2 linked regions of the Schizosaccharomyces pombe genome follow. The protein of the gene in region 1 interacts with the protein of each later gene in a biochemical or structural test. Each region holds a gene or a part of one and is shown in the gene's direction. Other genes may lie near its edges. The genes, in order: klp2 and nda3.

Region 1 (5,625 bases):
AAATGCAGTGGATGCGGCTATCGCATCGGGAATTTGCATTGGAGCTGTCAATTCATTTTCAAGTGGTATTGGCGGTGGTGGATTTATGTTAATACGCCATCCAAATGGTACAGCACATTCCTTGAACTTTCGCGAGACTGCTCCAGCGGGTGCCAGCAAAAATATGTTTCATGGTAACTCTACCCTGTCACAGGTAGGTGGTCTTTCCGTTGCCGTCCCTGGTGAAATTGCTGGCTACGAGCGTGCTTGGAAAATGTATGGCTCTCTACCTTGGCATAAGTTGTTTGAACCAACCATACGTCTTATGAGAGATGGAATGCCAATGCCCAAGGAACTTGCGTCTCGCATCAGACGACCCGAGTTTTCCTATTTCAAGACTCATCCAGATTGGTCTAAAATATTTGCTCCAGAAGGTGTTTTTTTACACGTTGGAGAAAAGTTTTATCGGCCTGCTCTAGCGTCTACCCTCGAAGAAATAGCTAAGTTTGGTCCTGAAGTGTTTTACACAGGAAAAATTGCAGAAAGGCTTGTAAAGTTTGTTCAACAGCAAGGAGGTATACTAACCATGGAGGATATGGCCAATTTTTCAGTTGTTGTGGAGGAACCTATTTATGGTAACTTCTATGATCGTGAGGTTATTACTTGTGGATCCCCTTGTAGTGGAGAGGCTTTGATTTTAGGTTTAAATGTTCTTTCAAAAGTAGATTTAAGTGAAGGTACTTCTATCCTTGGTTGTGAAATGACGGATATTGGCGTGCACCATCTAATTGAAACAATGAAATGGATGTCCGCTGGACGGACTGTATTAGCAGACCCAACTTTTTACAATAATACAGATCATGTTGAACAGTTACTTTCTTTGGAATATGCTGATGAAATTCGCAATAATATTTCTAACGAGAGGACTTTTGATTTTACTCACTACAAGGCCGAATACGATTTCCCTAACGATCACGGCACTACTCATCTTTCCGTTATCGACAAAGACAATATGGCAGTCGGACTCACAGCTTCTATCAATTTGATGTTTGGTTCACAACTTTTGGAACCTGAAACGGGTATTATACTGAATGATCACATGGACGATTTTGCTTCTCCAGGAATAGTGAATGCTTTCGGTTTGAGTCCATCGCCATACAACTTTATTGCCCCTGGTAAGCGACCACAAAGCTCCGCGGTGCCTACGATTTTGGTATATAATGGTGAAGTTGAAATGGTTCTTGGTGGTAGCGGTGGCAGCCGAATCGTGACAGCTGTGTTAGACACAATTATTAAAAAATATAAATGGGGCAAGTCATTGTTAGAATCTGTTGAGAGTCCTAGATTTCATCATCAGCTAATGCCTAATATCGTCTATATCGATGAAACTGTTGAAATTGAAGTTCTTAGAGCTTTAGAAAAGTTTGGTCATATAGTGGATTTAATCCCCGTTCAATATCCTTTCAGTGAAATTCAAGCTGTTTTCCGCACCAACGGCACATTGTACGGTTTAAGTGATAGCCGAAAACAGGCTGTTGCTGCTGCCTATTAAAATTTCACTAAATTATTAAAAAAAACTCCTTAGACGCTCACAAAATTTTCCTTTATTTGTTGTTATTAATTTATCAGGTTTATTAACTTATTCTCAATCTTTATGTGCTTTTTACTGATCTTTAGCTTGTGGCTGGGATGAGAGAAAAATATTATAAAGCATAAAACGTATGAATGATCACTGTCTACATATTTGTGCACATGATGGTGATGATTGGACCTTCGTTAGTTAGATAGATTACATTCTTTCCTAGATTTAGAAAGTTTTAGCAAAACGAAGAACAATTACATTTAACTTTCGAATTTATTCTAACCGTAACATAATATATCTTCATACTTTAAACGTAAAACAGTAAAATATTTCTTTCGATGTACGAATGGCAAATATTCCTTTACTAATTAAAAATACTTTACTGTGTTAATTAATACTAAATCATTAAATTGAATTAAAGATTCACATAATATCGGATATTTGCTTTTGACCTTCGTGGTCCATGGAATACCACCATACAAATTGTTGAATAGTGAACTTTTGATTTAAGCTTATGAAACTCAACTTCTCTAACACCTTACAATACCCACATGTTTTTGGGGAAAAGGAGAAAGTATGGAAGAAGAAGGACATAAAAGTTTAACTGTAAGAACAAATTTAAGTGTAATTTATTAATTTTTTTCCTTATAGTCGCATCTACCTCAGTCCTCGAGTTCTTTGTCGCAAAGTCGAGAAATTGCTAAAGAATTTACGTCTAATATACCTCCTCCGACTATTAAAACTAATTCATCTTCATCAAATATTCTGAAACCTCGGTTATCATTGCAAAATGAAGTTAACCAACTGAAACCTGCTAAATTTCCCAGTAAGATGTTACCACCAGGAAGCTTAGCCTCGGTTAAATCTTCTAGTCTTGCAAAAAAAGCCAGGCCTTTTACCGCGTCCTCTAATCCCAGGATGCCCAAGTCTGCACATCCCATTTCAAGTCGGTCAGTGTCTGCTTCTTCTCATTTTGGTAGACCTGCCAGTGCTGTTTCATCCAGTTTAAATAGTAGCGATGATGTGAGAAGTATGTCAGATGAAAGTATGGAATCTTATAATGATGAAAAGTCTGTTAATGCCAGCGCCTTAAGGACTACAGAAGACCGGTTGAGGAGTATGGAAATGGCTTATGCTCAATTATCGGCTAAAGTTATTCCTTCACCCTCAAAAAGACCAGCTAATTACAAATTTTACGAACAGAGAATTGCTATGCTTGAAGAATCATTAGAAGTCGAGAGGAGTCGTACATCGGAGTTACAAGAACAATTTTCAGTGGCTCTGAGAGAAAAAGCTGAGGCGGAGGCTAATAAAATCGTTTCTCAAAAGGGTATGGAGAGTTTGGAGATAATGTTAAACTCAATGAAAAGTGAAAATCATCAGCGCATGGCCATGTTGGAAGAGAACCATGCTCGGGTGATGGAGACAGCTGAGCTTCAGCATCAAGCAGAATTACAGGATTTTGCTTCCAATATTGAACAAAAAGCAAATAGTTTAATCATGGAGTACAAAAATGAATTGCAGTCTGCCGAAGAACACTTTTCACACAAGATTAAAGAGCTTACTTCAGAAAATGAACTCAAAATTTCCAGACTACAAGAGGAAAAGGATTCTTTATTAAAGAAAGTTCAGGAGGGCGCTTCGCTGGCTATGCAACGTGTCCAAAATAAGCATGATCTAGAAAAAAAAAGACTGCAATCTGCAATTCAACCGCTTCAGGAAGAAAATAATTCTTTGAAACAGCAGATTGAACAATTACAAAGAGAACTTGCTTCTGAAACAGTTGTTAAGGAAAATCTGAAATCTTCGTTGGACCAACAAAGTGCCAACGTTCAGAAGCTTGAATCTACAAATCGGGCTTTAGAAAGCACTATCAAAACACTTGAAGAAGATGTTTATACTATGAAAAATAAGATTATAGAACTAGAAGGCATTTTAAAATCTGCCAATGTTGAGAGAGACGGTTTAGTTGAGAAACTCATAGCTGAGGAAACTCTGAGAAGAAAACTCCATAATACCATTCAAGAACTTAAAGGTAACATACGCGTTTTTTGTCGAGTGCGACCTCCCCTTGGCGATGGAGAATCAGCACAAATAGCTTTTCCTGATCAAAATTCCGAAGCTAGTACTATAGAGATTGTTGCTCAAGCCCCAGGGTCTTCGTTAACAGGGAACGGGATAAAACAGTATGCCTTTAATTTCGATCGTGTATTTTCCCCTGAAACGACTAATGAGGATGTATTTAATGAACTGTCACAGTTAATTCAAAGTGCTATGGACGGATATAATGTTTGTATATTCGCTTACGGTCAAACAGGTTCAGGCAAGACGCATACGATGTCTTCAAATACAGGAATGATCCCTTCATCTGTAAGAATGATATACAATCGCTCTACTTCTTTGAAAGAACGAGGTTGGGAATATCGGATGGAAGGACAATTTCTAGAAATATACAATGAAACCATTATTGACCTTTTAGCCTCCGGAAATGAAGAAGAGAAGGGAAAGAAAAAACTGGAGATATATCATGACACGAAGGCCGGAAGGACGACTATTACCAATATAACCAGCGAACCGTTAGACACACCTGAGCAGGTAACCTGGTTGTTAGATCAAGCTTCGAAGAACCGTTCTGTTGCGGCTACCAATGCTAATGAACATTCCTCAAGATCGCATTCAGTTTTTATGCTACACTTGAATGGAAGCAATTCTACGACAGGTGAAACATGCAGAAGTACGCTTAATTTGATTGATCTGGCTGGATCCGAAAGACTTTCGAGTAGCCAAAGTGTGGGTGAACGTTTGAAGGAAACGCAGGCAATCAACAAAAGTTTAAGTTGTTTAGGAGATGTAATACATGCTTTGGGAAGTGGAAAGGAAGGAACGTACATTCCGTATCGAAATTCCAAGCTGACTAATTTGTTACAATATTCGTTGGGAGGAAATAGTAAAACTCTCATGTTTGTCAATATTTCCCCACTAAAACAGCATGTTCCCGAAACATTATGCAGTTTGAGATTTGCAACAAAGGTAAATAATACTCAAATTGGCACAGCACGCAAAGTCACAAAATGAACGGAAAGCACCAACAGGATGGCTTGAGGATTGTTGTTTATAAGGAGAGCTGTCTTTTCCGTTTTTGTAAAATATACAGATCTGTTTGCTCTCTTTTGTATACTTTGAAAATAATTTTTATGGGCCTATAAAGAACCACAAGTCAGAACTATTATCGTTTTAATGGACGTATACATACAAGTAAGCGTTCATTTCCAACTCACTCTTTTTTTTTATATATTCGAATACGCTCTTTAGGTTATATGTGTTCTTTCCTTTGAATGTTTTCAAATTTTACCATTATATTTTATGTTTTCTATAATAGTATTGAGCAAATATTTTCTTTTATGACTAGACCCTAATGACATTCCAACTTACTTAGTACGGTGGTTTATAATTCGCTCAAAATGAAGTCATATCTCATAAAGTATGTTCAAAAGTATAGTTAATCTTAGAAAGTAACTGACTACAAAAATTGTTCCAAGTGACTTTTGGATGAAGCAAAGGTGAGCAATTAAATTTCACAGATGAATTACATTTAGGAGAAAAGATCAAGTATCCAAAAATATAATATTACTAGCTATTTTTTTTTTCTCAAACTTGGCAGTTCCTTTAATTCTCTCTTGATAATAAAAATATTAGAAATTCTACTACCCACTGTATATTTTATTCCTTTCGGAATGTTCTTCAGATTGACCCAAGAAATATAGAATAAGCTAAAATTAACAGATTATACTTTATTTTCTTTAATAATTGTACTAATTTCGGTTTCTTAATTGCTACTTAATCCACTTAGTGGGATTATAGGAATTTCCATAAATTTTCCACTGCCAATCTTGAATACATTTCCTTTTTTTCTCTTTCATTTGAATGCTTCTATCCCTTTTCAGTAAATACTGAGGTGGCATTTTTCTATATCTTGCCAATAGTCCAATTCTTTTCCATTTGTTTATCAAATACTGAATTATAACGAGAGCAACATTAAGCATTTTTATCATGTAACCACAGGC
Region 2 (4,269 bases), on another chromosome or scaffold:
TTCAAAAGACGTTGAACGTCAAGTTTTAGCATCTTCTGCTGAAGAAAAGCGTCTTATTTTCGTTATCAACAAAATTGACTTAGTACCATCAGAAGTACTCAACAAGTGGGTTACCTATCTCCGCAATTTCTTTCCTACGATTCCTATGCGTTCCGCTTCAGGATCTGGAAACTCAAATTTAAAGCACCAGTCGGCTTCTGCTAGTTCCACTATCTCCAATCTTCTTAAATCACTCAAGTCTTACTCAGCCAAGAAGAAGCTTAAAAGCTCTCTTACAGTCGGTGTAATTGGATACCCCAACGTTGGTAAATCATCTGTTATTAACGCTCTTGTCAACCGTTCTGCGAATGGTCGTTCTGCACCTTGTCCTGCCGGAAACGTTGCCGGAATGACTACTTCTTTGCGAGAGGTGAAGCTAGATAACAAATTACGTTTGGTCGATAGTCCTGGTATTGTTTTTCCTTCTAGTGATTCTAAAGACGATTTGTATCGTCTTGTAATGCTTAATGCTGTTTCATCCACCAAAGTTGATGATCCCGTTGCCGTTGCTTCTTACATTTTGCAATTCCTTAGCAGAGTTCCAGGACAATTGGAAAGAATGTTTCAAAGATATGAGCTTCCTCCTCTATTGAATACATCCGATATAGACACTGCTACTGATTTTTTAGTCAATATTGCTCGTAAGCGTGGTCGTCTAGGTCGCGGTGGAATTCCAAATCTTAACGCTGCTGCCAATATTGTCATTAATGACTGGCATGCTGGTCGTATCGAATGGTGGGCCGAGCCTGAGGTTATAAACGAAAAGAACTCATCTGAAGTTCAGGATACTCAAATCGTTACTGAGTGGGCCAAAGAATTTGACCTTAATGATTTTTGAGAGTTTTCAACTTACGAAAAAAGCTATTGTTGCTTAGAGCTTATATTTTGGGATTTGGTTTTCGGTTGCGGTTTTTCTTCGGGTTTTAAAAATCTTTAGGTGTTGATGGTTACTAGCTATTACTTTTTGAATTAATATATAAATAATTTTTTTTGCATATATGCCGTATTCTTGAATGTGTTGTTTTACATTTACTTGTAAAAGTAATGTTTGATATGGGAGAAGTTTTAAGTAATAGGTTCGCTAATACGGGAAATTATTAAATCAATGCATGCTGGCTTAAATAAAGTCAATTGAATATGTACGGAAAATGACATTGATACTAACGTGCAGTTATAAGTTTCATTTCATTTTTATATCAATTGATAGGATAAACACAAACAATTCTAACCATACTATTTTGCGCTACTACTGAATATGGCATAATATCAAATTAATCTGTTTAGCAGTTAATAATTATGTATATAAACTAAAGAATAAATAAAGTTACATACATTACCAAAGAAAAGAAAAAAAGCTTGTATATAAAAGAAGTAAACTATTTAATAAGCAATGATTTAAGACTTGATTCTTTTCAATTAACAATCGGCTAATAAATACACAAAAATTTTTTTTAAAAGCCTACTAGTAAATAACTGCAATAAACTGTGTTTTTAGAATTTCTGAAACGTATAAAAACGATTTGGTACTTTTGGTATTCTCAATCCGTTCCTCCTAACGAAACTCACCTACCACCAAACTGATCATCAAAACAAACCACCATAAATTAGTCTAGATGCGTGAGATTGTACGAGCTATTTTAATATTCAAAGCTAATCAATAGGTTCATATTCAAGCTGGTCAATGCGGAAACCAAGTCGGTGCGGCCTTTTGGTAAGCAAAATCTACTTTGTTATAACGTTTCTCTCAACTAACGCTTGGAAGGTCTACCATTGCTGATGAGCATGGTTTGGATTCAGCTGGAATGTAGGTCTATTTTGCTTGTTTTTTTACTGACTTTTACGTAGATATCATGGAACTTCTGAGGCACAACACGAGCGATTGAACGTTTATTTTAACGAGGTAGGTTTTTTTGCTTTCTTACAAGTGTTCGGTTGCTTAAAACTTTTTGAAAAAATTTTTTTTTGTTTATTTAGTACTGACGACTGTAGGCCGCTGGTGGAAAGTATGTTCCCCGCGCAGTCCTTGTTGATTTAGAGCCCGGTACTATGGATGCCGTGAAGTCAGGAAAGTTTGGAAATCTTTTCCGCCCGGACAATATTATTTATGGACAATCTGGTGCCGGAAATATTTGGGCTAAAGGCCATTACACTGAAGGTGCTGAATTGGCCGATGCTGTTTTGGACGTTGTTCGCCGTGAAGCTGAAGCATGTGATGCTTTACAAGGTTTCCAATTAACTCACTCTTTGGGTGGTGGTACTGGATCTGGTATGGGTACTCTTTTACTTTCGAAGATTCGCGAGGAATATCCGGACCGTATGATGGCTACCTTCTCCGTTGCTCCTGCTCCTAAAAGCTCTGATACCGTTGTGGAACCTTACAATGCTACTCTTTCTATGCATCAATTGGTAGAGAACTCTGACGAAACATTTTGCATTGATAATGAGGCTCTTTCTTCAATTTTCGCTAACACGTTGAAAATCAAGAGTCCTTCATACGATGACTTGAACCATCTTGTCTCTGCTGTAATGGCTGGTGTAACCACATCTTTCCGATTCCCTGGTGAATTGAACTCTGACTTGCGTAAATTAGCTGTTAATATGGTTCCCTTCCCTCGTTTACACTTTTTCATGGTAGGATTTGCTCCTCTTGCCGCCATCGGTTCAAGCTCATTTCAAGCTGTTTCTGTGCCCGAGCTTACTCAACAAATGTTTGATGCTAATAATATGATGGTCGCCGCTGATCCTCGCCATGGCCGTTACTTAACAGTTGCCGCTCTTTTCCGTGGTAAAGTCTCAATGAAAGAAGTCGACGAGCAAATTCGCTCTGTTCAAACTAAGAATTCAGCATATTTCGTTGAGTGGATTCCCGATAATGGTATGTTTACTTGGTTTAAAACGTCGTTTGTATATTTAGTTTATTTTTTCTACTTGTTTATGCTCATCTGCTAACCTCGAAATAGTCCTCAAAGCTGTTTGTTCCGTTCCTCCTAAGGATCTCAAGATGTCTGCAACTTTTATTGGTAACAGTACTTCTATCCAAGAAATTTTCCGTCGTTTGGGTGATCAGTTTTCTGCAATGTTTAGAAGAAAAGCCTTTTTGCATTGGTATACTGGTGAAGGCATGGACGAAATGGAGTTTACTGAGGCTGAATCTAATATGAATGACTTGGTTAGCGAATATCAACAATACCAGGAGGCTGGTATCGATGAGGGTGATGAAGATTATGAAATTGAAGAAGAGAAGGAGCCTCTCGAGTATTAAACCCTTATAACCCTTTTTATAATCCAAGTGTGCCATATATTTTCAAATAGTGTTTATCTACGTTCCTTTTTTCCTACATTCATTGAAATGCTTTATTTTACTCCGATGCATATGGATTCCAAGCATCGTCTGTGCTAAACGCTCTTTACTTTTTTTCATAGCTTTGAAATGCTCCTTACACTCTAAATATAGCTTTAGCCTGGCTACCAAGGTGGAAATGTACTATAAACACGAGTAAGTCTGTAAAGTACTTTTGTAAGTCCAAACCGTACGAATTAAAGCTATTTACTATTCCCTAATATATGCTTAGATATTTGACTATTACAAAGTAAATGTATAAAGCAAGTCTAATACTTAAGTGTCAATTCCCAAAAGTAGAACCAAAAGATGCAGTGAGATTTGTAAATTCAATAAACTATTAATTTAGTTAAATTATCACCTACTGCTACGTATCGTATTTATGTTGCGTTTTGTGAAAGTAAACTCGTTTGATATACCAGTACTTATAAACGTCCACCAGTATAACAATCCGCCACTTTCTAAATTCGCCTTTGTCAACGACGAGAAATATTGAGTGGCTTCGAAAAGCCGAAATTGAAATTTACTCATATAAAAGTATATTAGGAACTTTATTTACTACATTGCAATCGCACCAAAACAATGTTTAATCGTAATTTACGTGCTGTCATTCTTAAAAATTACAATAAAGCTTTAACAAGATGTTTGCATGATGCTGGAAACCTGAAAAGGCCTACACCTCCTCGCCTTCCAAAAGAGCAGCAAGAAGAATGGGATAGATTACAAAAAGAATCAAGTAAACGTCCTGTGGATGTTATGCGCCGTGAAAAACATAAAGATTTTGAGGGTGATGTTAATCCAAAGGTACATTATTAATTAATATTATTACATATTGAAAGTATGCTTCGAATTGACGCTAACATATTTTATCTAGACTGGAGAGATAGGAG

Evidence for each region.
Region 2: the proteins of klp2 (region 1) and nda3 form a complex in vitro, tested with the Schizosaccharomyces pombe proteins (one study listed by BioGRID).

The regions. Positions count from the first base shown.
Region 1 is NC_003424.3:1,719,858-1,725,482, forward strand, and holds klp2 (kinesin-14 family minus-end directed microtubule motor Klp2), read left to right. Parts: upstream 1-2,096; 5' UTR 2,097-2,137; coding exon 2,138-2,167; exon of another isoform or gene 2,168-2,212; coding exon 2,213-4,636; 3' UTR 4,637-5,045; downstream 5,046-5,625. Other genes in the region: gamma-glutamyltranspeptidase Ggt1, read left to right, coding at 1-1,531. UniProt on the Schizosaccharomyces pombe protein: Minus end-directed microtubule (MT) motor that is involved in spindle microtubule shortening, kinetochore capture, and polarization of cytoplasmic microtubules. During mitosis, promotes spindle microtubule shortening by depolymerization.
Region 2 is NC_003423.3:3,963,308-3,967,576, reverse strand, and holds nda3 (tubulin beta Nda3), read left to right. Parts: upstream 1-1,603; 5' UTR 1,604-1,652; coding exon 1,653-1,664; intron 1,665-1,700; coding exon 1,701-1,750; intron 1,751-1,801; coding exon 1,802-1,843; intron 1,844-1,884; coding exon 1,885-1,939; intron 1,940-2,028; coding exon 2,029-2,914; intron 2,915-2,999; coding exon 3,000-3,301; 3' UTR 3,302-3,485; downstream 3,486-4,269. Other genes in the region: GTPase Grn1, read left to right, coding at 1-877; protein Sdh8, read left to right, coding at 3,962-4,183, 4,254-4,269. UniProt on the Schizosaccharomyces pombe protein: Tubulin is the major constituent of microtubules, a cylinder consisting of laterally associated linear protofilaments composed of alpha- and beta-tubulin heterodimers.